Linked DNA regions of Drosophila melanogaster. The protein of the gene in region 4 purifies or fractionates together with the protein of the main gene of each other region. This does not show direct contact. Each region holds a gene or a part of one and is shown on either strand. Other genes may lie near its edges. The genes, in order: bgm, Cyp4e2, Gel and snz.

Evidence for each region.
Region 1: the proteins of snz (region 4) and bgm purify together in Drosophila melanogaster (affinity purification with mass spectrometry, with the first as the bait; one study listed by BioGRID). This does not show direct contact.
Region 2: the proteins of snz (region 4) and Cyp4e2 purify together in Drosophila melanogaster (affinity purification with mass spectrometry, with the first as the bait; one study listed by BioGRID). This does not show direct contact.
Region 3: the proteins of snz (region 4) and Gel purify together in Drosophila melanogaster (affinity purification with mass spectrometry, with the first as the bait; one study listed by BioGRID). This does not show direct contact.

Annotation. Positions count from the first base shown.
Region 1 is NT_033779.5:14,010,718-14,019,573, reverse strand, and holds bgm (bubblegum), read right to left. Parts: upstream 6,571-8,856; 5' UTR 6,436-6,570; intron 5,829-6,435; exon of another isoform or gene 5,657-5,828; intron 3,788-5,656; 5' UTR 3,779-3,787; coding exon 3,540-3,778; intron 3,443-3,539; coding exon 3,097-3,442; intron 3,037-3,096; coding exon 2,537-3,036; intron 1,540-2,536; coding exon 948-1,539; intron 889-947; coding exon 565-888; 3' UTR 246-564; downstream 1-245. Other genes in the region: NimC3 (nimrod C3), read left to right, coding at 1-85. UniProt on the Drosophila melanogaster protein: Mediates activation of long-chain fatty acids for both synthesis of cellular lipids, and degradation via beta-oxidation. Probably by regulating lipid storage and catabolism, plays a role in neuronal function.
Region 2 is NT_033778.4:8,442,830-8,448,466, forward strand, and holds Cyp4e2 (cytochrome P450 4e2), read left to right. Parts: upstream 1-1,730; 5' UTR 1,731-1,844; intron 1,845-1,881; exon of another isoform or gene 1,882-1,898; 5' UTR 1,899-1,941; coding exon 1,942-2,101; intron 2,102-2,152; exon of another isoform or gene 2,153-2,252; intron 2,253-2,528; coding exon 2,529-2,638; intron 2,639-2,704; coding exon 2,705-3,054; intron 3,055-3,112; coding exon 3,113-3,482; intron 3,483-3,542; coding exon 3,543-3,717; intron 3,718-3,777; coding exon 3,778-4,193; 3' UTR 4,194-4,335; downstream 4,336-5,637. Other genes in the region: Cyp4e1 (cytochrome P450 4e1), read left to right, coding at 4,674-4,833, 5,104-5,213, 5,274-5,623. UniProt on the Drosophila melanogaster protein: May be involved in the metabolism of insect hormones and in the breakdown of synthetic insecticides.
Region 3 is NT_033777.3:4,232,945-4,241,703, forward strand, and holds Gel (gelsolin), read left to right. Parts: upstream 1-2,272; 5' UTR 2,273-2,380; exon of another isoform or gene 2,381-2,665; intron 2,666-2,725; exon of another isoform or gene 2,726-3,029; intron 3,030-3,143; 5' UTR 3,144-3,204; exon of another isoform or gene 3,205-3,337; intron 3,338-3,608; 5' UTR 3,609-3,819; coding exon 3,820-3,860; exon of another isoform or gene 3,861-3,995; intron 3,996-4,055; exon of another isoform or gene 4,056-4,261; coding exon of another isoform or gene 4,262-4,266; intron 4,267-4,680; coding exon 4,681-4,873; intron 4,874-5,358; coding exon 5,359-5,433; intron 5,434-5,625; coding exon 5,626-5,821; intron 5,822-5,874; coding exon 5,875-7,580; intron 7,581-7,644; coding exon 7,645-7,770; intron 7,771-7,933; coding exon 7,934-7,993; 3' UTR 7,994-8,113; downstream 8,114-8,759. Other genes in the region: abs (abstrakt), read left to right, coding at 185-2,044; CG14642 (uncharacterized protein), read right to left, coding at 8,325-8,754. UniProt on the Drosophila melanogaster protein: Calcium-regulated, actin-modulating protein that binds to the plus (or barbed) ends of actin monomers or filaments, preventing monomer exchange (end-blocking or capping).
Region 4 is NC_004354.4:7,910,058-7,918,750, reverse strand, and holds snz (snazarus), read right to left. Parts: upstream 6,663-8,693; 5' UTR 5,888-6,662; coding exon 5,772-5,887; intron 5,701-5,771; coding exon 5,561-5,700; intron 5,424-5,560; coding exon 5,327-5,423; intron 5,263-5,326; coding exon 4,951-5,262; intron 4,489-4,950; coding exon 4,316-4,488; intron 4,260-4,315; coding exon 3,853-4,259; intron 3,792-3,852; coding exon 3,054-3,791; intron 2,985-3,053; coding exon 2,805-2,984; intron 2,744-2,804; coding exon 2,606-2,743; intron 2,541-2,605; coding exon 1,857-2,540; intron 1,797-1,856; coding exon 1,428-1,796; 3' UTR 307-1,427; downstream 1-306. Other genes in the region: hdm (hold'em), read left to right, coding at 1-234; spidey, read right to left, coding at 7,164-7,499, 7,558-7,898, 7,967-8,042.

The DNA.
Region 1 (8,856 bases), on a different chromosome or scaffold from region 4:
GGAGGAGCTGATGCAGCGTGTCGCCGAGCGGCTCGCCAAGGGACTTGAGGCAGAAGAGGAGGCGGCCAACGAACCGGAATCATAAGTTTCAGAGTAAATGCATCATTTTCTAACCAATCTGAATCTCCAGTGGTAATCAATCAGCCATGTAACTGTTTGAGATGTTTAATAAAGTGAATTAATTTTTTTTAATAACAAAAGCTAAGGATACTGAAACAAGCAATTGAAGTAATCACAACCGAAATGGTAGTTAATCTAATTACAAATTTATTGTTGCTCTTCAGACAATAAACAATTTTCGTTTGTTCAGTTGGTACAACCAAATAGTATATAAAAAATAAAACTTAGTTACTAATTAAATGATCTCTGGACCTAATCGTTGGCAAGCTCGTGTCTACCTAGGCATAGGGCCATAGTTGTTCTTAGTTTAATATCCAACAGTTAACATCAGCCTAAATCAAATTAAAAGTGGCACTCAATTGGCTTGGAAGTCCGTTAAATTCAAATTCACATTAAAGCTCAAGTTCCGCGGCTATCATCGGTTTCGATCTTGCAGTGAGAAATCTAGGCATATAGTTTCTCGATCTCATCGGCATACATCTTGGACACAACGTTGCGCTTAACCTTTAGGGTGGGTCCAAGTTCGCCGGTGGGAATGGAGAAGTCGTGCGGCAGAATGGTGAACTTCTGAACCTTTTGGGCATTGGAAATGGACTGCTTGTTGGCCCGCTTAATGGCATCCTCGATGGACTTCCACACCTTGGGGCAGGGACCTGCGGCCAGGATATCCGATACGGTCTTGTGCTCCACTCCCAGCGATTTCACCCACACGGAGGACTCGTGGCTAAGCTCGTCCAGCGGCTCACCGGAATCCTTGTCCACTTCGGTCTGGAAATCAAAAAACAATTAAATACTTTCCAACCAATTGGATTCGATTGAAGACTCACCTTTAGGGTGATCAGAACAGTGAGATATTTGCGCTGCTCGCCCACCAAAAAGGCATTGGAAATGGCATCCAGCTCCTTCTTGATCGTGTTCTCGATGTGCACTGGCGGTATGTTCTCGCCGCCGGCGGTAATGATGATCTCCTTGGATCGTCCCGTCAGTGAAACATAACCCTTGTCATCCACAAATCCCAAATCACCGGAATGCAGCCAGCAGTCGTCATCCAGCGACTCCTCGGTCTTCTCCTTGTTGTCGATGTAGCCCATGAAAACGTGACGTCCTCGGATGCACAGCTCTCCGTGACCGTTGGCATCCTTGTTGATGAACTTGGACTCGCAGCCGGGCAAAGTTTTGCCGATTGTGTTCAGACCCACGGAATCGGGAAGGCAGATGGTGTGACAACCGGCCGTTTCTGACATGCCGAAGGCATCGACAATCTTTAGGTCCAGACTGAGGAAGTACTTCTTCGTCTCCGGCGACATGGGAGCTGCCGCACTGGCCAGTGTAAGGACGCGATCGAAGCCCAGGGCCTGCTTCACCTTGGACATGATGAGCGACTTGGCAATCTTGTACCGGAATCCCCCGGAGCTCTTGCTGCGAGAAGTTGTGTTCAAAAAGTTTAATTAGCTTTGTTGCCTGATGAGTTTTTGTTCAAGGTTTGGGGTTAGCTATTGTGGGTATGTGTAATGGAATGTGTGGTGTTTGCGAATTAGTCGCACATCAATAAACAAAGGATTACAAAATGCACCTGCAATAGCATGATGCCAATTAGTCGTTCGAATTCGTCTAACTATTTTCTGTCAGCAATAAATTCTATTAGTTATTAATAAATAGTTTGTAAAATTGCGAAAGCTTTCGTTTTAAATTTCCCTCAATTACTTTTAATTTTCGCTTGATTTTGGACCGCCTGCTGGGTTTCCCAATGCTCCAGTCACTGCAAAAGTATCTGCACTTAAACGAAACTCCCTATTAGTTCTACACTTCTCCCTTGAAGTTCTCTCCATTCACCCGCTTTTACTTAAGAGGACGTGCCCGCATGGCGTGTCCTGGCTCTGCTCCTAGTCGTGGTCCTGTTCCTCGTGCATTTTCTATTTTCTGGTACATACCACCAGCAGCAGGAGCAGCAGCAACAGCAGCGGGAGCTGTTCCACGTGACGTATGAGTAATGTTGTTGTCAGTGATTTTCGCTTTAAGAAGCGCTGTCGGCCCGCTTGGCTTGCATAATTTAGCGGACACCGAAACTCGGCACACATGTACACAGAAAAAAAAAAAATGTTGCCAAGTGAAGTAACAATTTTTACGAGCACACTAAACTAAACCAGCTAAACCAATTTGTTTTCTAGTATTTTTCTTTTCCTTTTAAAAGGCGCTTTTTTCAATATAATGATTAATGGCCCTCAATGGCTTCCTTGGCCAGGAAGCTGGCCGAAAAGCTGGGTGAACCATGTAAAATGCAGGGAATGGGAGTTTGCGAGTGGAATTCTGTCGTTGCAGCCACTTTAACTGTGCATCCTTTTTACATAATTTATGCGCACACAAAGTCGAAGTTGAAGTATTTAAAGAAGAGAGGCCTCATCGGGGGAATACTTACCCTTGACTCACCATGTAGTGCTTCAGCGTGATGCCCTTGGCCCAGCTGGCGAGCATCTTCTTCAGGCTGCCGCTGGAGCTGGCCACGGCGACCATTCGCTCCTGGAACTTCTCGTACACACGCGGCACGCCCATGAATCGCGTGGGTCGCGCATCCTGCAACGACTTCACCAGCGTTCCCTTCAGCGCATCCTTGTCGGCGAACCAAATGCAGCCCGCCACAAAGGCGCAGGTGTAAATGTCCACGGTCTGGGCGGCCACGTGCGAAAGTGGCAGGTAGGAGACGATCGACTCCGCCCCAACCACCACACGGTCCATGGCCTTGACGATGCCGCGCACATCGAAGGTGATGTTGTCGTGGGAGAGCATCACGCCCTTGGGCATGCCCACCGTTCCGGAGGTGTAGACCAGGCAGCAGCACTCGTTGATCGCCACATTCTCCAAACGGGTCATGTACTGATCCTCCACGTCGCTAACGTTCATCGACTCGATCTCCGACCACTGAGGATGATGAGTTACAAAATTAGATATATCCTAGACTTTTTAGGGTTCCTCACTCACCCTGTAGTAGCCATCCTCCTTCTTCAAGTAGGGGGAATAGGGCTCCTGGATCTGAATGGCGGCCTTGAGCTTGGGCAGCTTGTCGCGAATGGCGTGAATCTTGTCCATTTGCTTGGCGTCGTCGACGACCACGATTTGGGCATGTGAGCTCTCCAGAACGTGCTGCACTGCATCGGCGGAATTGGTGGTGTAGATTCCGGCGATGATGCCTCGTGCGTGAATGGCGCCCATGGCCGAGTAGAACCATTCGGCGCAATTGAAGGCCAGCACACCCACCGAATGGTGCTCCTCCAGACCGAGCTTAATGAACGCCTTGGCCACCTGGTGCACCTTCTGCTCATATTGTCTGCGGATGATGGCAGGCAAAATAATTCGGTTAGCGGTTAAGTGAATCGCGCGCAAATTGGCAATTGGCCAGCAATTCGATTAGCGGTGGTACTCACTTGTAGGTGACAGTGTGATATCCGTTCTTGCCGTTCTTGGTGCGCAGCGCAGGATAGTCGCCATAATTGTTGACCGTACGCTTCAGCAGGCCGGGCACGGAGATGGGCTCCTCTGCGCCGATTCCATCCTTGGCCATACGAATCTTGACGGCATCCTGACGATTGGTGGTGCGATAGGCATCCGCCTGCCGCAGGCGGTTGGGCCCAGGACGATTGTAGAGCGCGTCTATCGTGGACATGTTGCAAGGCTGTTAATGCGGATTGGAAATCAATTACTTTAATTTGAAGTGATTTAACTGAAGTAATTAAAGCTGCACTACGATTATTCCTATTGTTAGTGTTTATCCTTTTCAAATTCGCTGAAGATCAACTTTGAAATTATCACGATGATTAATCAAAAATTATGGAAATTGCCTTGTCGAATAGAATCATACGATCTATGACTAAAGTACGTCCAAATATTTTCTGTTTTGGCCAACCAAGATAAGACGCACACTCCAGTTGGCCTATGTCAAGGCTTCCGTGAAAAGTTTTTTCTTATCGTACGCGTATAATTTGGCACCTGATTATAAGGTATAAGGTGGTAACAACCAATGTCAAGGTGGGAAAAATATTTGTAGGAAAAGACGAAAAGCATGAGGAGATATGTTGAATGAGTTTGTCTGGGCCGTAGAAAACACCACGATTGGCTTATCACAATTACCAACTACTATTTCGCATTTTATGCTATAATAACTTATCAGGCGCAGTCGCTTATCAAATTCGAGGTAAGTGAGAAGTTGTGGCTATTCAACGCAATGGTAAGTTCTTTGAATGAGTTTTATTTTCGCGGTGCAAAGGCCAAGAATCGTAATTCTTGATATCTACAATAATGCTTGCTTGTTTAACTTGCAGCTTTTCGTTTTTTATTAATCAATAAATTCTGGTCAACTAAGCATTGATATCAAATCAAGAATGAAGGAACCCAACAGCTGACATAATAGTCAGCTGAGTCCAAAGGGTCAGCAAATAAATTACCTTCTATGACATGAGGCAAAAGTATAATTATTAGATAAACGGGAAATTTGCGATGATTTTACCGATTTCAGATTGATTGGCATAGACATCGCGCAGATAATTGACAGTTAAATTGTGCTTTAAGTTTTGAATTGATTCAAACGGAAAGAGCCGAGGGCAACGCATTATCAGGTTAATGGAAGTGCGTCTTCCACACTTTTTTCTTTGTTTTTGACAAATATGGGAGGTACCAAAGACATTAGCATAGTTTGCTTGAAAATCATAAATCATAAATGGCAAATAAATAGCAGTGTCTGCTGCTGATAATAATTCAAAGTACTTAAAGTGGCGGCGCACGCATTCGGGGCATGAAAATGAGTCAGTAGATTTTTGCTACCAACTAAACTCGTAGTCTAGCGTTATACAAACCAAGCTACTTTTGATACCCAATGAAGAGAACTACTACTACCAAAGCGGAAAGCCCGCTTTATTTATCAACTTCTAATAGCGTTAAGAATGTTGTTTGCCATTTGTTCTTGTGATCCAAAATGAGCTGAACGGGAATCTAACGTGGAGGGAACTACAAAAACCGGCCTGTCGATAAGAAAGATTGGAATGGAAATCGAATTTAAGCCAAACGTACTCGAAATATTTCGCGACACACAGAAAAGTGGGGTAAAAACAAAACTGATAATGGGGGGCGCACAGCATCTAAAAATATTTGACAACTATATTCAATCGGTGCTTTCGCTCTCCCAACGAAAGACATTTCGAAAGTTAAAGGGAGATAGATGAAAGAGAGTGAGCCGAAAATGGGAGAAGCGAAAATCCAGCACGAACGAGCGTGATGTAAAAGAGGCTCGATCGATGGATGGATGGATGGATGGATGGAGATGGCAAGGTGAAAAAGAAATTGGGAAGTTCGTGCGGCGAATTGAAAACAGTGCGAAATCGGGCGATGATGACAATGAACCCGCCGAAAAAGTGCACTGACCCACAAATTAGATTTAGACAATGCGAGCGCACGTGTTGCCCGGAAGTGGCAACAACAACTATCCAATCAAAATAAATTTCAATTGTTCAATCTACTTTGCCTACTGTTTTCTCGCTGGCAAACTTACATAATTAACTAGTTTGGTGTTTCTACGGCGTTCTCGATATATGTATGTATATATTTGTTCTTTGGTCACGCAAATCGATTGCCGTCTATTTTCTATACTCCCACTCTTTCTTTCGCTCGAGAACCACGACAGCAAACACGACCGAATTCAGCGAAGGCAAAGCGTGAACTGAACGCCGTTCAGGATCGGATGCTATAGAGAAGCCTCTGCCGGCGGGGCAACCGATCGCTCTGCCAGCGTCTGCGTTGGCATCGGCATCGATATGGGTGCTACCTGGTACTGATACCCTCTTATCAGCAGCATGCGATCGGCGTGCTTGCTCCCTCTCCTCCACCCTTTCGAGTGTGAATAGAACAGCACATCTCTTCTTATCGAACGGGCAATTAAAACTTATCAGTGGGGCGTGGTGGGAATCTTGCAATGGATGTGTAATAACACCAATCTCGTAATCCTATCAGTAGTAACGCGATCTCATAGGGGATCATTTTCTATAAGTGGTGGTACTTAAAAATAGCGTAGAAAACTAGCATATCTTCTAGTTATTGTTTATAGTTTAATTACTGAGGCAATTATTTTCCTAACTTAGCAAGGCTCTATAACATATTTTATGTATTTTTTATAATATTTTTAAACAAATACCCTTTTGTAGCGACACAACTGATAACTGATTAGCAATTACGCATTAAAATAATATTCTGAAATTCCCATCGTTGAATTTCAATAACCTTCAGACTTCAGACGGCATTTGAACATTGAATTAAAACAAATGTTGTATTTACCTGTGCTACCATTTTGAAATATTCTCCGTTGAGATCCTTTTGAATGCTTATCACAAATGGGCTTGGCTATAAACAAAATTTTCAAACCAAACAGGTGTTCAATCAAATATAGACTGCTGAAAATTTGCCAAGTCAAGCTCTTTTATTTTAGTGGTGGGAGGTGGCAGATAGCTGACATTCCGGGAAAGTAAAAAAGATAAGTAGTATAAGTAAATTAATTAAAAAAAAAAAAGAAGAGAAAAACAGCAGATGCAGAACCATAAGCCGTGAATAGCCAGATTATAATAGCTCAGTGATTCACAGAAATTAACCAAATATTTAGTGAATTATTCAAGGGTTTAATAAAGGCTGATATTGGTAACGCGTCAGCGGCAAATATTACGGCTATATAAACAATAGAGAGATTCTCGTATCGATTTCGACTGTTGCCAATGGGGTTGATGGTTCTTTACCATTTGGGGTGGCATTTTGGGGTATTGTTATAGCTCTTATCGAACGACACAAGCTGGAAAACGGTTTATGATCTGATAAACACGGGTACACTTGACCATTTAACTGCTGCCACAAATACAATATATACTATATATAAAGCGGCAATTCCCTTTTAAATTTATGCCACATCCGTGGAAATATGTATGTACATAGTTCCATCCATCCAATGGTTCAACTTTGCCTGAATTTCATATGGTTGTTTGGTCACGGTTCTAATACAACGCTGATTATCCCATGAAATCGACGGTTATCTGCAAACGATTAGATAGTATAGCTCCCGGTTCGTATAAATCACAGTTAGCTAGGATCTCCCCGATTAAAATGTCAATGGGATTGTGCGACTATTATCTACACTCGAATCTCTTCCAACTAATCGCCACTTGCAGTTCTCTATGATGTACGTATGTATGTACATACATACAATATAGATTGTATTTAAAACATTTGATCTTGAGTGCAGCCTTATCGAGAACAAGCTAACGCATTAGGCGATAATACTTATGAATTATTTTTAAAAAGCATCCCCTATGTGCGAGTCGATTCTTCTCGGTTGGTTATCAGCCAAGCAGAGCGTGTGCGCAAATTCGCGTGGCTCCAGCTCACCTGTGGGTCACCTCACTTCCTCAGATTGATAACTGAATTATTATGCCACAAGATGACAAAGTGAAAAACAAAATCTAAACAAATTTTAGCAGGCAATTCAACATTTAAGCTCTTTAAGCCATGTTATAAGTTTAAAAGATATTTAATCATTTTATTTATAATTCTGCAGCAGCTCAATTTATAAAATTTCTAAACTAAAATTAAATTTGTGATTAAAATTCATGCTTGCAGTTGGCTGCTTACTTTTTGAACAGACTGTGCAAGCTTTACAAGCTTTGCAAGCTGCATAAGCTTTACTGTTTAGCCAAGTTCGGAACCTGCGGAAAACTTTACAGAGCTTTTCCCACTTGTGTAAAACGTATGTAAAATAAAATATCTTTTCCTCGCAGTAGAAAGCAAATGAAATCTAAAGTTAAATCTGCTGCAATGGTAATTCGATTGACTATCGCCATTTATTCTGACAACAGACGAGCATAAAGCGAGCATCTATCATTGAACTGTCCCTCGGATTTTATGCGCAACAATATGGCAACATAATCCGATGAGCTCTGATTTCGATGTCATGTTAATGAGATTGTCATCGTCAAAGTTGGCAACGAATTAAGTTACGAAGCTCTACTTATTTACGTCCATTCAACCCCCCACCCCCCTCTACTAACTAAATACATGCAAATGATGTGATAATAACGTTGGTAATGGAATGGGTGTCTCAAAAGGGGAGTTTCCCTTCAAACATATATGTACATATGTACATATATGTATATTGCAGATTAAGGGGGTTATTTAAAAATAACGCTTAAGTCCATTTAAGCAAGAGGTAAGCAGAGCAATGAACGTGTCCGCACATTTAAACAAGTCCTGTCCATTGGAATGAGTCCTTCGAGTGGCGAAGGGCTGAAATGGTTGGGTTAGCATTACAAGTGTTTGGCTAATTAACTCTGGCTAATTGTGCGACAGCAGCAACAAAGAGACAGGATCACAAACAACGCCAGACAAACGAAAGTGAACTGCACATAATTGACCTGACACGCCCCCCGGCACAAAAAAAAAAAAAACCAAACAAAGGAAGTCTAAGGAAATTTAGAAGGCAAAAACTACGATTAAGTTATTATCCAGAGCTTGCAGTGAAAATTTTCAAATATATCGCTATTTAAATATGTCATTTTGCTAATATTAAAGATATAAATACATATTACATTACATGTATAGAATATATATGTAAATATCTAATAATAAAAATAGTTTTCTAATTCGTAACAAATTAATAATTAGATTGCTTTTACCTTATATAACTATAACTATCTATTATAAGACTAAATTTCTATA
Region 2 (5,637 bases), on a different chromosome or scaffold from region 4:
CAATTTTCGCCCGATTATGCCTTCGATAGCTTATCTGAACTTTATGCATTTTATTTTTTGTTTGTTGCTTGCAATCGATGTACTATTAACATAGTACTTTATTGCCGTCGGTAATTGATAAATATAACTATTGTGGACTACCTAGTGGGAATTGACTCACTAAACTGATGACGTGTAGGTCTAAAGGCCTTTTGGTATCGCCAGAAGATTTGGGGCCAATAAACGATTGTTAGTCGCTTCGTGATAATGAATTAGGGCGGTAGCCATAATTTTTGACACGCAATAATTATTAATAGGGACACTTTTGATTGAGGGATTAACAACGGCACGATAAGCTGTTTGTTCAACATAGTAAACACAAAATAGATAACTTTTGGAAAAGCAATCAAATTGAAAAGGTGTGTGGTAAAAAGATTGATATTAACAACTAAATACATATAAATTTAAAAAAAAATTTGATTGGTGTTTATATTTATATTTATACTTACCAGACGATCATGACTTTTCAATTTATTAATGCATTTAAAAAAATTTTAATATTAATAAGGAATTTTAATAGCTACACAGCATTGAATTTTAAAACGAATAAGTTTAAATAGTTTTTTTTTTTCAAAATAGGACAAAAAATTAAGAATTACCATATACATAAGTATAAACATTTCTTAAGTTCGTACAACTACAGAACTTATCATTTAATTGTGTATATATATATGTACATATAGCAGTCGCATTCGCACACACTCCTAGTGCGATTAGTCACTAGGTGGAATGCCGTCCAAAGTAATTTATTTGCTTTAGCAAATATAAATATAACATATATATATATAATGTAATTATACATAACAGCGTTTTCTTGAAAAATATATAGCATTGTGCTGATAACGGAAGAACAACGAACAGAATAATGCCGCTTTTTAACATTTTCTTCTCTTCCACTAGATTTATCTTCAAAGCTATTCATTTTGATGTAAATTCACAAATTAACTCGTTTCCGAAAGCATATTTTTACGAAAGAATGCATTTCCCATATGCTTTTATAATGCTTTTATCATACTACAAGTCATGATGCAGAGACAATGTAAAAAATTGGATTTCTTTTAAAACGTTTTTCGTGTTTGGCTTAAGTTCGAATTTTGCAGCGAGAATATAAAGTATATATATTCTTGATCAGTATCATGTTTTATTGACTGATATTATATCGATATAGCCATGTGCGTCTCTCAGTTCTAAAACTATCTCTATAAAACTCTTCCAAAAAGATTGCTTCTATTTACATATGTAACTCAAAACGTGACGGAGCGGAACAGAATAATCGAAAAATAAACGCACACTGTGCTGATATCATTTCTTAAATGTAAATGTAAATTTAAATTTGCAGTGGATTTTACCTTACGTCTGTGATTTCTACCAAATTTAAGTCTTGCTGCTGATAAGCTAAGAAGAGCAAGCGACTTTCTCTCTCTTCTCTTCAATTTCTGTAAGAGTAATCTTAAAAACATTTTGCAAACATAATGTGTTCATCAATTCTCCCGATTTCTCTTTCTTGTTGTGAGCGAATGTTTATCAACGTTTTGTTTTATTCCATTTTTTGCTGCCATAAAACAATATATACTGGATACAGTTTTAAAAAAAGTTAACTGTTACACATTTAAGCGCAGTCTCGAAAACTATTGGTTCTCCATCTCATCTAACGATTAATCAGGGGGCTCATCTTAAAAAACCTGATATTGATTCGGCAAGTCATGCTGAAAGCACCAAAATATATACTTATATTCGGGAGACTACAGTTGGATTAGGAAAACGGCAGATAAGGGAGCAAGCGACTGGGGAGCTGGCTGATATTGGTATCTCTCGTATTTAAACCGCCCGCCGGCCCAAATAAGCTCTCATATTTCCAGTGATTCGCGGGCTGGACGGTTGTCGTGGAACTCGCGATCGAAAATGTGGTTCGTGTTGTATATTTTTCTGGCCCTACCACTGCTGCTGGTTGCATATCTGGAGTTGAGCACATTCCGCCGGAGAAGAGTGCTTAACAAGTTCAACGGCCCCCGCGGCCTGCCGCTGATGGGAAACGCTCATCAAATGGGCAAGAATCCGTCAGGTGGGTTTTTCATAGGAGCCGGAAAAGTCGTAGCGTTAGCCACGCAGAGGACACACCTGAAATTACCCATCTCGAATAGCGTTGTGACTGAGGTAACTGCGCATCGAATCTACTCAGCGGCGAGGCTATTCAAGTAAGGTTATTTTGGGCCAGCGACTTTACGACCGGAAAACAAGGGTGTTAACTATCAGATAATGGGGCTACTGGCACTTGTAGAAATGGGCTAATCGTAGCCTAGGTCGAGTATCGCAAAAATAATGACGAGGCTTTGATTTGTGTTGTGTAATATACGATGTATGTATGTATGTATTATACTGCACTAATGAATACTGAAAATCGCGTGCCAAAAACAAGCAATGATTATCTACGGAATACCGATATTGGTACGCGATCCGCCTACTAATGGCATTTTCTCACGTCTATATAGAAATACTCGACACGGTTTTCTCCTGGTGGCATCAGTATGGAAAAGACAACTTCGTCTTTTGGATTGGAACGTATTCTAATGTATTGGTCACCAGCTCCAAGTACCTTGAAGTGAGTTACAGCGAATTTCCACCAATCATGTAATCATGTGACTCTATTATTTTCGTACTTCTTCAGTTCATACTCAGCAGTCAGACGCTGATCACAAAGTCCGACATTTATCAACTAACACACCCTTGGCTGGGATTAGGTCTCCTCACCAGTACTGGCAGCAAATGGCATAAACACCGCAAGATGATCACCCCAGCATTCCACTTCAACATCCTGCAGGACTTCCACGAGGTGATGAACGAGAACTCCACCAAGTTTATCAAGCACTTAAAGACAGTTGCTGCCGGGGACAATATATTCGACTTCCAAGAACAGGCCCACTATTTGACCCTGGATGTCATTTGCGACACAGCGATGGGTGTGTCCATCAATGCCATGGAAAACCGCAGCTCTTCCATTGTGCAGGCCTTCAAAGAGTTAGTTTCGTACCTCGTAGTCGAACTATCAGATTGCATGACTCTTGATCCTTTTCAGCATGTGCTACAACATCAACATGAGAGCCTTCCACCCGCTGAAGCGCAATGAACTGCTGTATCGTTTGGCTCCGGACTACCCGGCCTATAGCAGGACTCTAAAAACACTGCAGGACTTTACCAACGAGATCATCGCTAAGCGCATTGAAGCCCACAAATCGGGTGCAGTTTCGACCAACGCGGGAGATGAGTTCACTCGCAAGAAAATGGCCTTTTTAGACACTCTGCTGTCCTCCACTATTGATGGTCGTCCCCTGAACTCCAAGGAACTGTACGAAGAGGTCTCCACATTTATGTTTGAAGGACATGATACTACCACTTCTGGAGTGTCGTTCGCTGTCTATTTGCTTTCTAGACATCAAGATGAACAGGTTCAGTACATTGCTTGAGACGCCAAATCTTTAAATGACTAACTTCCCTTGCTATTATAGCGCAAACTATTTAAGGAGCAACGCGAAGTAATGGGTAATTCCGAACTGGGTCGCGATGCCACCTTCCAGGAAATATCCCAAATGAAGTACTTGGATCTCTTTATCAAGGAGGCCCAGCGTGTTTATCCCAGCGTGCCTTTCATTGGACGATTTACGGAGAAAGACTATGTTATAGGTAACCATTAATTAAAGCAATTTAAAGAGCTTTACATAACAGTACCATACTTGCTTATAGATGGGGATCTCGTACCCAAGGGCACCACACTGAACCTGGGTCTCGTGATGCTGGGTTATAACGAAAAGGTGTTCAAAGATCCCCACAAGTTCCGACCTGAGCGCTTTGAGCTGGAGAAACCAGGACCTTTTGAGTATGTACCCTTCAGCGCTGGACCCCGAAACTGCATTGGTCAGAAGTTCGCCCTGCTGGAGATTAAGACTGTGGTATCCAAGATCATTAGGAACTTCGAGGTGCTTCCTGCTCTGGATGAGCTCGTCTCTAAGGATGGCTATATAAGCACCACTATTGGACTCCCTGATGCCGAGAGGAAGAAGCGCGATCCATACCGTCACAAATACGACCCTATTCTTTCCGCTGTGCTGACCCTGAAATCCGAAAATGGTCTATACATTCGGCTGAAGGAAAGGCACTAAAATGTCAATTTATTGATCTCTGTTAAGTTTGGTGCTTTAATTTTGCATACCTGTGTTTTTTTAGGTATGCCGTCCCCACAGATACAATTATTAGGAAGCTGTTAATCACTTTGTCTCATACAACACATAAAACTTTTGAAACAAATCAACTCGTTTTAATCTTTGAACCATTGAGACTATGTTAATTAGCTTAAAAAATTTGAAATTATAGTTTCCACACGTGTAAGCCATTTTCAAGAGAAATGTTCATCAAGAAACTTAGTCGCAGCATATAGAAGGTCATGCTGAGTGCCCATATATTAGTTTAAAATTTGGGAGATAGTCATAGGCTGCTTCTTATGTGTGGATGTATATCCAAGCGCGAGAGACTGAGAACTGTCTGCCGCAACCGGTTGAAGTACTGACGCAGAGAGTCTTGAGGTTTCTACTCAAATCCGATTTACTCGCTGCACCGATCGGTTGTCTGTGGTCGCATTCAAAATGTGGATCGTACTGTGCGCTTTTCTTGCCCTTCCACTGTTCTTGGTGACCTATTTCGAGCTTGGACTACTGCGGCGAAAGCGAATGCTGAACAAATTCCAAGGCCCAAGTATGCTGCCTTTGGTGGGCAATGCTCATCAGATGGGAAACACTCCCACAGGTAGGTGCTCCATCTAGACAATCTCAATGTGTGGGATCAAAGTCCCCTCTAGATAACATCGCTCGATAGGTGTGACTGATCACATAACAGTTGTGTACGAATGATAACACTGAGACTAAATATACTAAAGGTCACTGCAGTACCGATCAATGGGATTAACTTAACAAATCTTCGTCAGGGAATTCATCCGTCGTTTTTTGCTGTATTAAAGACTATGGCTTCTATCTAATTGTAGAGCAAGTAATGATATGTTTTAACTTTGCTCTCCAGAGATTTTGAACCGGTTTTTTGGCTGGTGGCATGAGTACGGCAAGGATAACTTTCGTTATTGGATAGGTTACTACTCCAATATTATGGTCACTAATCCCAAATACATGGAGGTGAGTGTGACATGTTAATAACGCTAAGGCGAGGATGGTAACAATGCAGCTTTTGCGCAGTTTATACTTAGCAGTCAAACTCTGATATCCAAGTCCGATGTATATGATCTTACTCACCCATGGCTGGGATTGGGCCTCCTCACCAGTACTGGCAGCAAATGGCACAAACACCGGAAGATGATAACCCCAGCCTTCCACTTCAACATCCTGCAGGACTTTCACGAGGTCATGAACGAGAACTCCACCAAGTTCATAGATCAGCTGAAGAAGGTGGCAGACGGAGGCAACATCTTCGATTTCCAGGAAGAGGCACATTATTTGACTCTGGACGTCATTTGCGATACAGCTATGGGTGTGTCCATCAATGCCATGGAAAACCGAAGTTCCTCCGTTGTGCAAGCCTTTAAAGAGTATGTATTATGGG
Region 3 (8,759 bases), on a different chromosome or scaffold from region 4:
GCCATGAATATATCATAAGCAAGAAGCTGTCAGTGGAATCACTGTTTAATAACTGTAATCGATACCCATTAGAATATAGTATTTTTCGGGCTCGCCTAATTTAAAACGTCGTACGGTGGCCTTTGTTGTAGTCAAATTAGGCGAAAACGAAACAAACAAAAATCAGAAATATAGATCGAATGCTATGGCGCACGTAAAGCGGTATCGGAGGTCGTCTAAGTCCTCGGAGGAAGGCGACCTGGACAACGAGGACTACGTGCCATACGTACCGGTGAAGGAGCGGAAGAAGCAGCACATGATAAAGCTGGGCAGGATCGTGCAACTGGTTTCGGAAACGGCCCAGCCCAAGTCGTCAAGCGAGAATGAGAATGAAGACGACTCGCAGGGTGCGCACGATGTCGAGACCTGGGGACGCAAGTACAACATTAGTCTGCTGGACCAGCACACAGAACTGAAGAAAATTGCCGAGGCCAAAAAGTTGAGTGCCGTCGAAAAGCAGCTGCGAGAGGAGGAAAAGATTATGGAGAGCATTGCTCAGCAGAAGGCCCTTATGGGTGTGGCAGAGTTGGCGAAGGGGATTCAGTACGAGCAGCCTATTAAAACAGCTTGGAAACCGCCGCGTTACATTCGGGAAATGTCGGAGGAAGAGCGCGAGGCCGTTCGCCACGAGTTGAGGATCCTAGTGGAGGGAGAAACCCCCAGCCCGCCAATTCGCAGCTTCCGGGAAATGAAGTTCCCTAAAGGTATACTTAACGGCTTAGCGGCCAAAGGCATTAAGAACCCGACCCCAATCCAAGTGCAAGGCCTGCCCACTGTACTAGCCGGCCGCGACCTAATTGGAATAGCCTTCACTGGGTCTGGAAAAACGCTTGTCTTCGTGCTGCCAGTCATCATGTTTGCCCTGGAACAGGAGTATAGTCTGCCTTTTGAGCGTAACGAGGGCCCCTACGGCCTGATCATTTGCCCGTCCCGCGAACTGGCCAAGCAAACACACGAGATAATTCAACACTACAGCAAGCACCTCCAGGCATGCGGAATGCCTGAGATTCGTTCCTGCCTGGCCATGGGTGGTTTGCCGGTCAGCGAGGCCCTTGACGTCATCTCACGCGGCGTACATATTGTGGTGGCGACCCCTGGTCGTCTAATGGATATGCTGGACAAGAAGATCCTTACGCTGGACATGTGCCGGTACTTGTGCATGGACGAGGCTGACCGCATGATTGACATGGGATTTGAAGAGGACGTTCGTACGATATTCTCTTTCTTCAAAGGCCAGCGACAGACACTTTTATTCTCTGCCACCATGCCAAAAAAGATCCAGAACTTTGCTCGATCAGCTCTCGTGAAGCCTGTCACAATAAATGTGGGTCGCGCAGGTGCTGCGTCAATGAACGTCACCCAACAGGTTGAGTACGTTAAGCAAGAGGCAAAGGTGGTATATTTGCTGGACTGCCTACAGAAGACCGCGCCGCCCGTGCTCATTTTTGCTGAGAAGAAGCAGGATGTAGACTGCATACATGAGTATCTGCTGTTGAAAGGCGTGGAGGCGGTGGCTATTCACGGCGGAAAGGATCAGGAAGAACGATCGCGGGCAGTCGATGCTTACCGCGTGGGCAAAAAAGATGTGCTGGTGGCCACCGACGTGGCATCGAAGGGCCTGGACTTCCCTAACGTGCAACACGTTATTAACTACGACATGCCGGACGATATTGAAAACTATGTGCATCGTATTGGCCGCACAGGTCGTTCCAACACTAAGGGATTGGCTACGACGCTGATAAACAAGACTACCGAGCAGTCGGTTCTGCTCGACCTGAAGCACCTGCTAATCGAGGGCAAGCAAGAGGTCCCGGACTTCTTGGACGAACTGGCACCTGAGACCGAACACCAGCACCTGGACCTGGGTGACTCGCATGGCTGCACCTACTGTGGTGGTCTGGGCCATCGCATCACGGAGTGCCCAAAACTTGAGGCTGTTCAGAACAAGCAAGCTTCAAACATAGGACGTCGCGACTACCTATCTAACACCGCTGCGGATTACTAAACCACTACCACCACCAAATTAAAATAGTAATAAATAGATTAGTATACATACATACTTTTCTGGGAACTTTTAAATTTATTTTCACTCTGTTTTAAGTTCAGTTTGCTGCTTATCGCACGAAGCTTTGCTTATCAATCGTCCCAGCAACCCCAGAGAGCGATCTCGGCCGGACGCGCGCGCGTTTCGGGCTTAAGAAAAATATTATAAAAGCGAAGACGAGCTTTGGCTTTCGTTTAGTGTCTGAGGCAGAGCTCTGCATGCTTGTCGTTCGAAGCGCTTTTATTCAATCATCGCACTGGGATCGTGAGAAATTGCGCAGATCGTATTGACTTACAAGTAAGTGTGCCCCAAAAATTAAATGATGTTTTATCAGCAATATGTAATAACATCGCCCAGAATAGTAGGTTACTCTAGTATAAAGTAAAATTCAGACTAGCCTAAATGATTTCAATTGAAGGCTGATTATATAGACATTAACAACTTTCAAAGCTATTATTTTGCTGAGTTCATTTCGTTAAATTGGTCGTTGATTTGTCTTATCTACTGCTTTGAAAACAATCATCGGAACTGAGGTCGGTTTTATATTAGATAAGCCACTAGCTTTTTACCAAGCTGTGTGTTCTTGAAAAAATAAATTCATAACACTGTATAATATGATCAAATTAAATTGATGGTACCTACAAAATTTGGTTAATTTATCTCCGTTAAATTATCCCCAACTTCATTGGCATTTGGATTGGATTTGAATAATTGGATACACATTTGAATGTTTAAATGTTACCCATGCGCGCGGTTTGTCCAAGAATCCGTTTGTATGATTTTGGCACTGGAAAATGGGTAACTGCCTTTATCCAACCAATTCAAGCTGGTCCAACTTATGGCCGGCTTCGGAATATTATTCCGAACATGCTGTGGCCCATCACTTTCATTTCAAATAGGTATCATTTCGAAGTACGTATGACGTACTCCTGACTGGCTCCCAAGCCTTTACAAATTGGAACTAATGTGCTTGCCGACATAATTTAAAAATCTTATATGATTCCATCCCATACTGAGTTCTCAATAAAAACTGATTTCTTTTTTTTTGGCTGTGACCCAGTTGCAAGGAAGGGCCAAATGGGCTTGCCGCTTGACGAAAACAGTCGTGATCTCATACGCAGGTGAAACTAATTAACTGAATGACAATATGCGATTACACGCTTGCGGCACTTTTTTTTTGCTCTCCTTAACATTATGCTCTGATCAAGCAGCGCACTCGAGATACAAACATGATATCATACAAGAGAGGAGCTGGTGAGCAGAACAACTTTTCGGGAAATATTAAGTATCATTTAGCATTCTACAACTCACATTTAAGAAATCCATCAGGAAGTTTAGCTTAAACGAGTTTGGGGAAGCTCTTATTGTTGAAGACAATTATTATTATTTAAAGACGTTGTTTTCTGGGTGGCTGTATATAACATACGCGTACTTGTTGGCGGTTAAACATCAGTGCTCAGCGATTCGTTCGAAAATATTAACATCTTTCCTTCTCTTATTGCCCTGATGATTCTCTTACTTGCAGTTTCCACACACTCTGCTTAAATCTGGAAGAGCAACTGCCGCTGTTTGAACTAGAAACCAACGCTACGACAAAAATAAAGGCCAATACAAAAGATCGCGTACCCAAACACATCGGGCATATACGCTATTTGCGACTCACAGATACTTATCGCAACAATAAACAAAGCTCCTCGGAACCCTCGGTCGTCGACCAGAGAAGAGGCAGACTCGAAATGGATGCCTCCGGCGCCGCCACAATGGCAGTCCTCTCCAGGTAATGCAAGCGAGCAGTTCGCTGTCCAGAAAGCTCTGGGGTGATAAGTACTCAGTTCCTGAATTTTAACAAAACTTTAGCAGTCGTACGCGACATCGCTAACACCAATTCGAGAAAACAGCCGTTTCAAATAGAGTAAGTGCGTAAAAGTGGCTGCGGTGTGATTCAACACCCGACTTTTGTGTTCATTTCTAGGTTTCGCCAGGTTTGCCCCATGTGGCAGTTGTGGTGTGCCTAGTTTGTGGCCTTTTATGGTCATGACTCACATATAAACAGTCGGATGTACTATTTAGGTGTATCTAGTTTAATTGCGCTGAGAGAGAGCACAATTTCATGTCTTGAACACCCTACAGAGCGGTGTATCAGTTGGAGTTGCGCGTAATTGTGAATAGAGTGCCTGAATGTTGTAAGCCATATCCACCTATTGTCCTTTTTCCCTGAAACCTGTATTATCCAAAAGAAAAGTCGCTTTCGTGTAGCAGACTGAAATCTTTCTGGTTCAAAAAATATAGTTTCGGTTGTGTTTACTAAAGAACTATCGAAGAAAACACCTGTTTAATATCAAATTTTGTGATACCCTACCTGCATTGCAAAGAAGACTTTTCGGAACGCATCATTTGGATAGAATAAAAACTGATAAACTATTTTGCGTCGGGCTGAGAAACGGACGTGGCTATAACAACTTGTTGGTGATACTAATCAAGAGAAAACCCTCATAGACTCGCAAGAGTCCTTTAGTGGAATATATATTTTTTTAGAGTAGTTCTGTTATCTTTGGTCAATTAAGCTGCCATAATAGCTTTTTGCTTGTCTCTTTCAGCCTGCTTGTGTTTTTGGCCCTCTCGTCCAGTCTGTGCTCAGCCGGCACCCTCAACGCCCGTCCTGCGTTTCCCGTACAATCCGGCGAAATTCAGCCCAGCGGCCAGAACAGCAAGCAGGCAGCCAGACGCGTGATGCATCCTTCCTTCGCCAACGCCGGCCGTACTCCCGGCCTGGAAATCTGGCGCATCGAGGTGAGTCAGATTTTGGGATTTAGTTGTTCTCTTGCCGGGTACGGGGAATAGAATAAATAAGCGTAAGTAAGGAGCAGATCGCGCTGACATCGATGGGATAGGTGCGGTGCTTATGCAGTGGCACCCAGAAGGCTGGGAGAGAAGGGTACGAAGGCGGAGGGATGGCGCCCGATACGCGCCAGCTCGAGATCGGCAGACATTTGCTTCTATTCTGGAATTCGGGCAGTGTGGCGGCCATGTGTTTATAAATATACATACATAATGTATCTTTCCCGAGAAGATATATGGAAATTGCTTGTATACATTAGACGTCTGATCCTTCTTGTTAATTAACTCCAACATCGGCCAAATTTATTAGGTTCGAGATGCGATGCGTTTGTGTACAATCAGGCGATGACCAGAATAAATGTTTATACCAAACAGTCAGACATTTTTGGAAATTATCTTCTCTGGAAATCAGGTAATAGTTTTTTTTATCTTTTCAGAATTTTGAGCCCGTTATATATCCCAAAACTAACTACGGCAAATTTTACACTGGGGACTCGTTTATTGTTCTTAATGTAAGTATGCATTTGAATTGTTAAAGTTTTAATTAAACGCGTGGAGTGAACTGCTTGGTTAGCAACTGGAAGGTTTTAACCTTGTCAAAGTCATGTAAAAAGGCATCTGTGCTTAGCTTAGTAATAAACTTTACATTTTTCTGCAATACCTCACATAAACTTTTCCAAAATCGAATCATTATGTTCATTTAGACAATTGAAAACAAGAAAGACAAAAAACTGTCTTGGGATGTGCACTTCTGGCTGGGATTGGAGACCTCGACCGATGAGGCCGGAGCTGCAGCTATTCTCACCGTCCAGTTGGATGACTTGCTGAATGGTGGCCCTGTTCAACATCGCGAGGTGCAGGACCACGAGTCCCAGCTGTTTCTGAGCTATTTCAAAAACGGTAAAAGTAGTCAAACCGATTTGGACGTTTCATTAAACTGAATGTTGTTGTAGGCATTCGCTATGAACAGGGCGGCGTCGGAACTGGCTTCAAGCATGTAGAGACAAACGCCCAAGGAGAAACACGACTATTCCAGGTCAAGGGCAAGCGAAACGTGCGCGTCCGACAGGTGAATCTTTCCGTGTCGTCGATGAACACGGGTGATTGCTTTATTTTGGATGCCGGCAGCGATATATATGTCTACGTAGGCTCCCAGGCCAAGCGCGTTGAGAAGCTAAAGGCTATCAGCGCTGCAAACCAGATCAGGGACCAGGATCATAACGGACGAGCCCGTGTTCAGATCGTCGACGACTTCAGCACTGATGCCGATAAGCAGCACTTCTTCGACGTGCTGGGATCGGGCTCTGCTGACCAGGTGCCCGATGAGTCAACTGCTGACGAAGATAGTGCCTTCGAGAGGACAGATGCCGCAGCGGTTTCTCTCTACAAGGTCAGCGACGCCAGCGGCAAGCTGAAGGTGGACATCATTGGACAAAAACCACTCACTCAGGCTATGCTCGACACTCGCGAGTGCTTTATTTTGGATACTGGATCTGGCATTTTTGTGTGGGTCGGAAAAGGCGCCACTCAGAAGGAGAAGACGGACGCCATGGCCAAGGCGCAGGAGTTCCTACGCACCAAGAAGTACCCGGCCTGGACCCAAATTCACCGCATCGTAGAGGGCTCCGAGTCCGCCCCATTTAAGCAGTACTTTGACACCTGGCGTGATGCTGGAATGTCCCATAGTCGCCTTATTCGCTCGGCTCTGGGTATCGGCTCCGATGAATTATTAAACGATGACGAAATCGACTCCGTGGTGACTCAGCTAAAGAAGAGCGGTGGTCGTGCCTTTGGGTTCATGCCGGATCACGGTCAGAACGTTATTGAAACCATCACACAGTACGTTGCAAAGCCTGGTTCCGATGAGATCGTGGTCAGCACCGTTCCCTTCGATGAGAAACTTCCTCTTTTGGGATTTGCCTCTTATGTGCTCACTTACAACTACGAGGCTAACAACGGGGACACTGGTTCTCTAACCTATGTGTGGCATGGAGTAAAGGCCTCTGCTGCCGCTAGGAAACGTGCTTTTGAGGAGGGTCTAGTAGGTTCCAAGGATGGTCTTCTTGTCCAGACCAATCAGGGCCACGAGCCGCGCCACTTCTACAAGATATTTAAGGGGAAGTTATTAACATCCTTTACTGCACTTCCGGTGACGGCGCAGCTTTTCCGCATTCGCGGCACCGTCGAAAGTGATGTTCATGCTAGTGAGGTGGCCGCCGACAGCTCATCTTTGGCCTCAAGTGATGCCTTCGTCCTTCATTCGGGAAAGTCCCACAAAATCTACATTTGGAATGGCTTGGGCGCATCTGCCTTCGAAAAACAAGCAGCGGTTGATCGCTTTTCTGACTACTGGGACGACGTTGAGCTCGAGCAGGTGGAGGAGGGTGCCGAGCCAGATGAGTTCTGGGAGGAATTAAACGGCGAAGGCCAGTACGACCGCAGCTTGGGTGACGATGGAGCTCCACTGCTGGAGTCGCGCCTTTTCCACTGTCATCTGAGCTCTGGTGGATTTTTGAAGGTTGAAGAAGTTGCTCAATACGAGCAAGAGGACTTGGACTCGGACGACATAATGCTACTGGATGCTGGCGATGAGATCTACCTTTGGGTTGGCTATGGCGTGTCTGAGGAGGAAAATGGGAAGCTTCTGGACACGGCAAAGGTTTTCTCGTTTCCCACCATCGCTTTCTATCACGTCTAATTATACGTCTTTTCTTGATTTACAGCTTTACTTTAATTTAGAGCCTACCGCCCGCTCCTTCGACACGGTGAGCATCATTCGCGTCCCCCAGGGCAAGGAACCAAGGGTTTTCAAACGCATGTTCCCCAACTGGGACGATAATTATTGGCAGGTACGTGATCCAAACCAGACCTAGAGTTTGTCTTCGTTTAACTGCTTGCTTGTACAGTAAGCTGATTACTAATGCTGATGGCCTATTCTCTTAATTGTAAAGTCGCTACACAATAGATTTATATAATTTCTATGTATTTTTAACCCTTTTCTTGGTCTCGTAGAACCAGCCCAGCTATGAAGACATGAAGCAACTTGTTATTGATGCCAACAATGAAGTCTAAAACCAATGATTCAATTCTCAGCAAAATTTACCAAAAAATATGTTTGTTTTTGCCTTTCTAACACCTATGTTTATCTAATATAACTTTAAAATAAATTTCAATATGGCCACTGTTTAGCACAATTTATTTTTACAATTCACTAGTGTAATGTTGTAGCAATGTATTTAAATATCTCCTGTGAAAATAGTTGTTGGGCTAGATTGGTCCATATACATACACACAGATGCCATAGGAAGAATCGAAATATAAATGGAAAGAATATACCATTTCTTTTAATATATATTTTGGCTTAAATTTCATCAACATCATACAAACCTGATGTAGGCATCTGTCAGGCCCAAACAGTAAGTTCGATCCAGTCCAAGAAAGAAGACACTCTGGTGTAAACTGATGGGTAACTACTGCGGCAGAACACGCCGTATGAGGTGATGCCAATTAGGTGATAGTGTATTCTATGCCCTCGGCGCCGACCCGGCAAATTCAGTTGTAGGGGTCCACCCGAGTCCCCCTGGCAAGTGTCTCTGTTGAGAATGTAGTCCTGGGCGCAGATCTGGCTTTCCAGAACTCCACTGGGAGTTTCAGCAAGAGGCGGCAGCTCGGCGTTGCACTCAGCGTTCGGCACTACGGTCAGGTTAAGATTTGTGAGGCGGTTCGTCATGGGCTTGGCGAAGCTCGTTGCGCCGTACCCCATTGCGAAGGCTATCGTAGTGGGCAGCTCTGGAAAGACCCACAGGCGGACAGGTCTAACGTATTCCGTCAGTCTTAG
Region 4 (8,693 bases):
GCCCGGTTAGCTGGACATCCGGCAGAACGTATCCTGGGACTTCGGGCTGAAGACTTCGAGCGACTGGCGGAGCGCGAGAAAAGCGAGCTAAAGTGGCGCTTTCTGCTGAAATACTTCGAGGTAAGATTGATGATCAAAAAGCCGGTGGGAGTGCGCAATCATCTCGTCATTGTGGTCGTCGACATGCAAGCCATTCCCCTGGAAAAGCTTGTCGCAAATATGGTCGTTTTCTAAGTGTATGTGGGGTGGTCCCATCAAAATACTGGTGAACCATCTACATAAATAGCGATCTTTATTTCGCATTTTCACATAAAAGTGTACAACTGCAATACATAAATAGATTGAAAGCGCCTCGAAACTCTTAATGTGGGTCCTAAGTGGGATACGTTTGGCTCATTGGGGATGAATCATCTAAGTGTCATTTTGCCTAGTGTTACAGAAGGTGCCGGTGTCTTTGGGTCGTGGTGGTGGTGGGTGGGTGTCTACGGGGCGTTTCAGGTCCACAAAACTGATTTTGGGTCAATTCTAAATGTTGTAATTTCGAGTTGTGTGTTTTAACATGGTATCAAAATGCATTTGGATAACCACAAATGCTTAAGGATTAATGCTTCTTTAAAGTCCTGACTTGCGACTGTTTTATTGTGTTATCAAACGTTCTGTTTTTTAAGACAGCCTCAATCAACGCTTAGTCTTTAAGATTATTTGATACCATTACCAATTTTGGTCAATTAGGAAATTTCAAATACAATTTTTAATTGATGGTTATCGATGTGCAACAATTGAATCATTTTAATACAAATTCGAAAAAGAATACAATGTGTGTCAATACGGAAGTTGCTTTATGGCCATGGAACGCACTGTTCTGGACGCCCATTAGCTTGCCTCAAACTAATCTCACCTGTTGTGTTTCTATAATATTTTTGGGGGGAGGATGGATCTACAGCTGGCGCGGCATGGGAATCACAAGCACCGACTCAACGCCAGCTGCAGACGCAACTTTGGGCTCAATATCTGCTACTAAACTATAATTAAAATCAATCCAAACTGAGTGTCACAATTTACTATACGAGTATATAAACAACGATTTGGTACAACGCTTAATACTGACCTATGTACAGACATATACACATAACAAACAAATCTGGCTACAGGAAGTGATGGACGAACGAATCAACAAGAACTGAATTCATATGGATTGTAAGTCTGCATTTGTACAGGGAATGATACTGGTACTACTGAGTTGTGTTGTGTTCTACATAACTATTCTTTGTAATCCCTTTCCTCGGCTAAATCAACAATATCCACCGGTTAGAAAGAGGGAGAGCATTAAACATTGAACATAAAATCAAACAAAACATAACATAAATAAAAAAAAGGGTTTAGGTTAAAGTAAAATCTAAAACGAAGTGGTTCTTCTTAAGTTCACTTCACTTCGAACTGCCCGCTTGCGAATGGTGGTGCTGCTGCTGCTGGTGGTGGTGGGATCCGTGGTGGTAATGCGATTGGTGGTGCGAGGCGGCACCACCACCGGTGGCGCCACTCGCGCCAGCTGAGGATCCGCTGGCCGACGAGGATCCCTGATGGTTTTGGTGACCCCCCGTGGATGCACTGTGACCCCCACCACTATGATTAAGCGAGGGCAGCGAAGCTGATGCCGTGGCAGCCACCAGTGCCGCAGCGGCGGATGCAGCTGCCGCTCCAGCAGTAGCCGTATTTAACTTGGTTCCATTGGAGTTGCTGACGCGCAATTGTCGGATTTCAGGAAAGAACTCAATCATAAGTATCTCCAGCAGCTCCTGAAGATTAGAGATACCAATTGTATATTTGGCTATATGACCACTGAAACCACTACTCACGTAGAATAGCTGCTTGTTGTAGGCGGGATTCTGCAGGGCATCGAAAACCTTAAGGACACCCCGTTTGGCAGCCTGTGCACCGACCAGGTTGCACAGTACCTCCGGTATGTGATCGGTGAGCAGGGCCTTGGCCGCCGTGGTGGTCATTTCGCGCATATCCTCCGATCGCGTCGGATAGGCGGAGGCAAGAACTCCGCCTGGCCAAAATGACTTGAGGATGGCCGAAAAGTAGTTGTGCAGCATAGACTCCTCAAAGAGATAGGCCACCGATTCGCGGATCTGTCGATTGATCGTACGGCCGTATGTGATCTGCACAAACGAGATGAGACTCTTACGCAACCACTTGAAAACTCCGCCCATGTCAAAGATTTCGCCCATTAGAGCGTACATCGGTTCTGCTATCGAATCCTTGCTATCCAGATCCGCTGCTAGCATTTTAGCCTCACCGCCGGACTCGCCGTCTAAATAGGTAGATATATCCTCGTCATCGCGCTGCAGACCCCAAAACGGATCGGTTGCCTTGCTGGCCTCGTGAGCTTTGCCAGCATCGCTGCGGAATAGCGTAGATAGCGAGAATTTGGACTTCTTTGGCGAGGGCAGCGATTGTTTCAGGTGGTCGGAACTTGGGCTAAGAAACGTGTAGATGGCCTCGCTGCCATTCAAATGATCGTCCTCCAGGATAAACTAAGTGGCCAAAAAGTATGGAATCACAAACTTATCTATGGTGTAAAAGAAAAAATTAAACTTACATTCAAGAACTTCTGAATCTGTGACTTGGCCTTTTCCTGACCATGACGATCTGTTTTCAGAAAAAAGAACTTAAAGTTCGTAGGCAGGTCGATGGCCTTCAGGTTAGAGCTCACGTGTCTCAGCTTCCGTTGTAGTTCCTTCACAAATAACCAAAATGTTAGTGAGAGTGATCTATAGAATCTTAAAGGGAATACACACATGGACTTGATTAAGGGAGCGCATTACTACCCAACCACTGGAAATGCCCGACGGTCGCTTACGTAGATTGGCATGGCCGCTGTCACCGTTTTTGGATGAAGTCGGTTGTACTGGGGCATTAATATCCTCGTCCACATGAACCAAGATCATAAACTGCAAGGACTCTTTCTCATCGGAGACCTAAAAGATGCAAAAAAAAAAAAAAAATTGAAGATGGCTGATAAAATCACTCAGGGATGGAGCACTGACCTCTACACTTTGGATGGTAGCCTTCCACTTGCCCAGATGCTCTGTCCAGGCGTCCGTGCGACGCAAATGCGCCTCTGTCTGTCGCTTCTCGCTCTTCAGCCACTCCATCTCCTTTTCGAGAATGGTCAGCACCTTGGACTCCGGCTTCACGGAATATTTGAGGGCGTCCAGCGCCTGATTCTTTTTATCAATCCGTTCCTGTATTTGTTCCAATTTTCGTCGTGCATAGGATGTGTGGGCGGCCACATCGATGGCACCACCAGCTCCGCCATTTAGTCCATCCGCCGCGCCCGGTTGCTCATCCGCCAGCGGCTCCTGTACATCGCCAATGGTGTGACACATTAGCAGCGTGGGATCTGCAATCTCATTGGAGTCCAATGCCTCCTTCAACTGACGATATTGATCGCTGAGCACAAATGGCGGATAGTACTTTTCCTCCAGCGTGCGTAGTACATTGCGCTGGATGTCATAGAAGATGTCAGGCTCGGCATCTCCCAGCAGGAACGTCTCGATCAGTTTGCGTTCGTGCTTGTCAATCTGGATCTCTGACTTGGGCACTCTGATGTAGGTGTAAAAGATCTCCGTGCCCAGCTGATGGCTGGCCGACTTGTGCGCGTGCTTGATCTCCTCCACGGCCAGGTAGAAACCAATCAGAGCGCTAGCCTTCAGCGGCTCCAGGAACAGGGTGAAGTAGCGCCGGCCAACCGCAGTGTTTAGGATCTCGACCAGTGTTAGGTCCTGCAAATAATAATTGAGTTTATCAGTGTTGTGGATATGGGGAATGCTAAAGTTTAATTACAATATCACTCGAGTAATTGCCATTCCAGCCGAACTTGGCCAGATTCTTCTCGCACTCGCCCTTGGCCATTGTGAGTTGGCGTACGTAGCGCTTCAGTCGGACGGCGGCTGTGAGCTCCGACTTGGAGAGCGAGTGGTCCTCGTGATCCGGATCGAGGCCTTTGGCACGCTGTAGATTCTGCATGGTAGTAGCATGCATCAGATCGTTTACTATGCTCTTGCGGATGAGCGAGAGCTCCTCGAGGTTGCCCGAGTTGTTGATGATTTTGAGGAAATCCTCGAAGCTGGCTGCATACTCGTAGCTTCTCTTGCTCATGGCCGCCGCTGCCAAGCGAGTTTCAATGTTTTGGACCACCTTCTGGTTGATGTAGTCCGGTGCTGTCAGCATTTTGATCATCGGAAAGAAAACTGCGGACAGGATACTAAGTAAAACGTGTCGTTTATTAAGCGGCAATGGTTCTTACTCTTGTAGGAGAGAATCTCGCTGAGCAAGACCTTCAATGGGGGCAGGGAATAACCGCGTGGCAGCAGCAGGATCACCATAATCTCGCAAAGCTTGCGCAGGAACTCCATCTCCTTCTCCTCGTCGGCGAGGTACGAGTTTGTACTAAAAACTGGCGGCGTGTTGGTTTCAGCTCTAAAAAGAGGAATACATATATTTATTATAGATCTGAATCGTTGAACAATGGAATGCAAAGTAATCGCAGCTGTTGCCTTTCTGCTTATTGATTACCAATTTAATGATTTGGGATTGATGGCCATTCTCTGAGGCATATAAATTACATTTAATTCTGTTCACTGCATTTTTTCACGCAAAGATAAACAACAACTTATTGTGGCCCAAAGCATTAGAGAGTAAAGGTATTAAACAAAGAGTCGAATTGCACATTGTATCTTTTATATCCAATCACAATCATCCTCTATGCATTTCTTTGTTTGAGCGCAATCAAAAAAATGTATTGGATTAATCCGATATCTTTGCTATACATTACTTATCTGGAAAGGTTTTTGACCTACTCTGTTCATTACTAATATATATCTATTTATTTAAAAAGTTTAATTTTGTGGATACTAAGCCAGGTTAAAGTGAAGTACTTACGCTCTGGCCTCAGCGATGCGAATCTTCTCCAGATGCACTGTCACCCGGTTGACCATGTCCACGGCTATGATCTTGGCGGCGTCCATTCTGAGGGCGCGCTCATGGATCTTCTGTATCGCGTTCCACAGATCTTCGCGCACCACATCGTTGATCAGCTTGGGCTTGGTGACCACGTAGCCCAACCAGGGCAGCATAAAATCGCGCAGCACATATTCAATGATCTGCTGGAGCTGCAGGTCCACTGTTTTGCCGAAAATCAGGGGCAAATTCGATGGATTCTTGATGGGCTTGGGTAGATCGAAGATGTTGCTTCTGCGGGTCAATGGAGATAGAGATATATACATATATATCATATAGAACAAAGTCCGCTACTCACTTGGTGGCATTGTAGAGCAATCGCGAGGGCACGCGACTTGGTGGCGTCGGCTCGTTGGTGGTGAATATATAATGGATATAGACGGTTCCCGCCACAGCTGTCGGCGAGATAAGGGCAATTAGATATTTGGCATTTTTAATTAGGCGCTCGTTCGGAACTGATTGCGCCCGATATGGTGACTCATTTGCCATCATTCCATTAGAAAACGCCCTGGAACGAAAGCGGAAGACTTACCCGCAAAAACCAAGACCAGGGAATAGACCACAAAGGCGAAGAACAGAAAGAAGGTGGGATAATACCAGATGACGGCCAGCAATGTAAGCGTGATGCCCGAAACAATAATCCTCCAATTTAATTGCAATGCACGTAGTAGTCTGTAAGGGATTTCAGGGCTAGTCTGTATCCAATATATGTATTTGATTGGACATTATTTGTATGGACTTACCGGGTGGCAAGGAGCGTTAGGCGTTGCGTTGCCGTTACGGATGGCTCCGGTTCGATGGGAAACAGTGGCAAACGGCGATTCTCCATGGCGTCCACAGCGTGCTCCTCTGATTCCATCGGCCGATTGACTTCGATTCGGGACTTCCGAATCACTGCCTCCTCACCTTATTGCCTACTTCTTCTGAATATTTGATGAGTTTTGTACATTTTCGACCCGCTGACCATTAAAAATAGTTCTCAACAATTGCGTCAATTCCGCTTTGGTCTGGTGTCCACCACCTCCTCCTTCTTCTACTGCTCCGTTGTCGACGACCTCTCCTTCTTCTTCTTAACCTCCACCGCCGCCTCCACCGCCTCGCCCGTCAACGAATGAGAAACGAATACAAATATGGTATCGCACAGTATTGTATCGGCTTTTGGAGAAGCGTCCGTCGTATATTGAAATATATGGGCAGAGAGACAGCTGGCTGGGAATCGAAATCGGAACCACAACTGTCGGCAATATGCGCCAAATCAATACTGGGCGACGCTGCGGATCCGCAACAAGTTGATTGGTTTGACCAGCTTTATCCGGAGCGGAGTTTTGATTTCATTTCGTTTCGAATCGTCTCGTCTCGTTTCGTGTTGATTCGTTTCCGAGGAAAGGAAATCAAAACAAGCGACTCTGATTACTGATTACACGCTCCTTCGATTCAGCTTGATGTGTTGTTGTTATTGTTGTTGCTGTCGCTGCTGCTGCGCAGTTGGGATTGGGCTGGCCCTGATAACACGTCACGTCATGAATCCGATTCATTACATTTCACGCCCGGCTATACACTATCTTTACTGTTATGTTTATGAATTTTGCCCTTTGCTTTGCTTCTTCGCCCTGCGCGAAGTGTTGTATCTCTTTCTGTCATTCCCATCTCGCCGATTAGCCGAAGGGCGCGCCTATCGATGACCAATCGATAGCTATTGCCGTTATCGACACATCCAATTCAAATTCAAATTGGATCCGAAAAACATGAAAAATCATAGGGAAAAAGAAAAATCGCTAGCAAGAACAAATAAGAAGTTAAATACAAAATAAAGGACTGCAAATAAAAGGCGTTATTTATCATTGGAAACTAGATATATACATATATCTAGTAACACATTTTTTATTGTTTACATGACATGGCTGTTTGCGAATCTTCAATGCTAATTAATGACAAAAACTAACTAAACTTAGTTTATTTCGGAAAAATGTTTTTTTTTTTGGTATTTCAAGCTATCTGTTTGTGGATTCGTATGACACGCGGTAATTACGTAAGCTATTTGACTAGCCGGATTTTCCCCACAACCCAACTGACCCACTCATCATCCCAACCGATTCCCATTAAATGCCTCCTCCGCCGTATTCATCCTCAATAATCTACTGTTCCTTGGCCAGGCGGCGCAGGGCACGTTTCCGGGTGCCCAGGATGTTCTTCATAACGATGTTGCGTGCGAACTGTTCGCCGAACACCGCCTCCGTGAAGTGGATGACCAGCTGGAGTAGAGCATGCGGCAGATAGCCCGCCGTCTGGGTGGCAATGCCCAGGGTGGACAGCGCCGAGCGGACATACGTTTCCGGCGAGGGAGCAAACACGCTAGCCTTTCGGATCTTAGACATATTTGTGGCCACAAAGCCCGGCTGGACGCTCTGGATGAGGATGCCGTGCTCCTTGTACTCCGTCTGCAGGTCATCACTGAATTTGTTCACAAAGGCCTGCAAATTATAGGTATTAGTAATTAGCCTTCTATCACTTCTGATGATATCCACTCACCTTGGTGGAACTGTACACGCTCAGCAGCGGATTAGGAATGACTCCGGCGGTGGACGATACATTTATGATCACACCACGTCGCTGGCTAATCATGCCGGGTAGAAAAAGTGCGGTCATGTGCGTCACCGAGTGGATATTGGCAGCCACAATGTTGCGCAGGAATGGGGGATCGGCTTTGTAGCAGTCCAGAAAGTACTCGGGATGGCCGTAGCTGATGCCCACGTTGTTGACCAGCACTCCGACATTGAGGCCAGTGGTCTTTTCGCGGATCTTATCGTAGATCTCGTCACCGCCGGTGAAGTCCACATCGATCACACGCACCTCCACACCGTATTTATCGCCTGAAAGTAGACCGCAAAGAGCAGTTGTTAGTTGAAGTTGTTAACTGTATTTTAGTGAGCAGACTTACCTATCTCCTTGGCCACCACATTCAGTTTCTCCAGGGATCTACTAATCAGCACCAGTTTCAAGCCCCTGCGAGCCAACTGAAAGTGATTAAATATTTATTAGCCTGCTCATATTTACGTACTTTTGGATAGTAAATTCTTAGGTCAGAGATAAAAAGCAATGGTGCTTTGGAATGGGAACACTGAACGTTTCTACCTAAAGCAGGAGTTTCAAAGACGAGTAACCCGTAGATTTTAAGAACAGGAAGTCATTTAAGTGTACTAAGCGTGTATATGAATAGAAATTGGGTGTGAACATTGAACCATTTTCTGTGCGTTCGACGCACGCCGAATGCTAATTTGGCACAAGCTTCGATCGGGGCCCTGTGCTCCACTCTATAAAGTAATTGCCATTCAGGGGACACGTGTTCCCTATAGCTTCTAGCTTCGTTTGCTCCAAGTCTGTGTATTACAAAATAAAACTGGCAAAAAAAAAAAAAAATTACCACAAAAGGTAGAAAAATCAACTGCGATTGCACTTTGTAAAAATAAATAACGAAAAGTACAAATGTAGCGATTTGCAGTCAAGCAAACACTATTAGGGACTGTTTGCGACTGGACTGTTGACTGAAGATCGATTTCAAAGTGCAGATTCACTTGGCTAATGCATTGGCGACCGCTAAACCAATGTCCAAGTCATCGTGGGCGACACTCAATTCGGTAATTAGTAATTACTAATTGCTCATTATT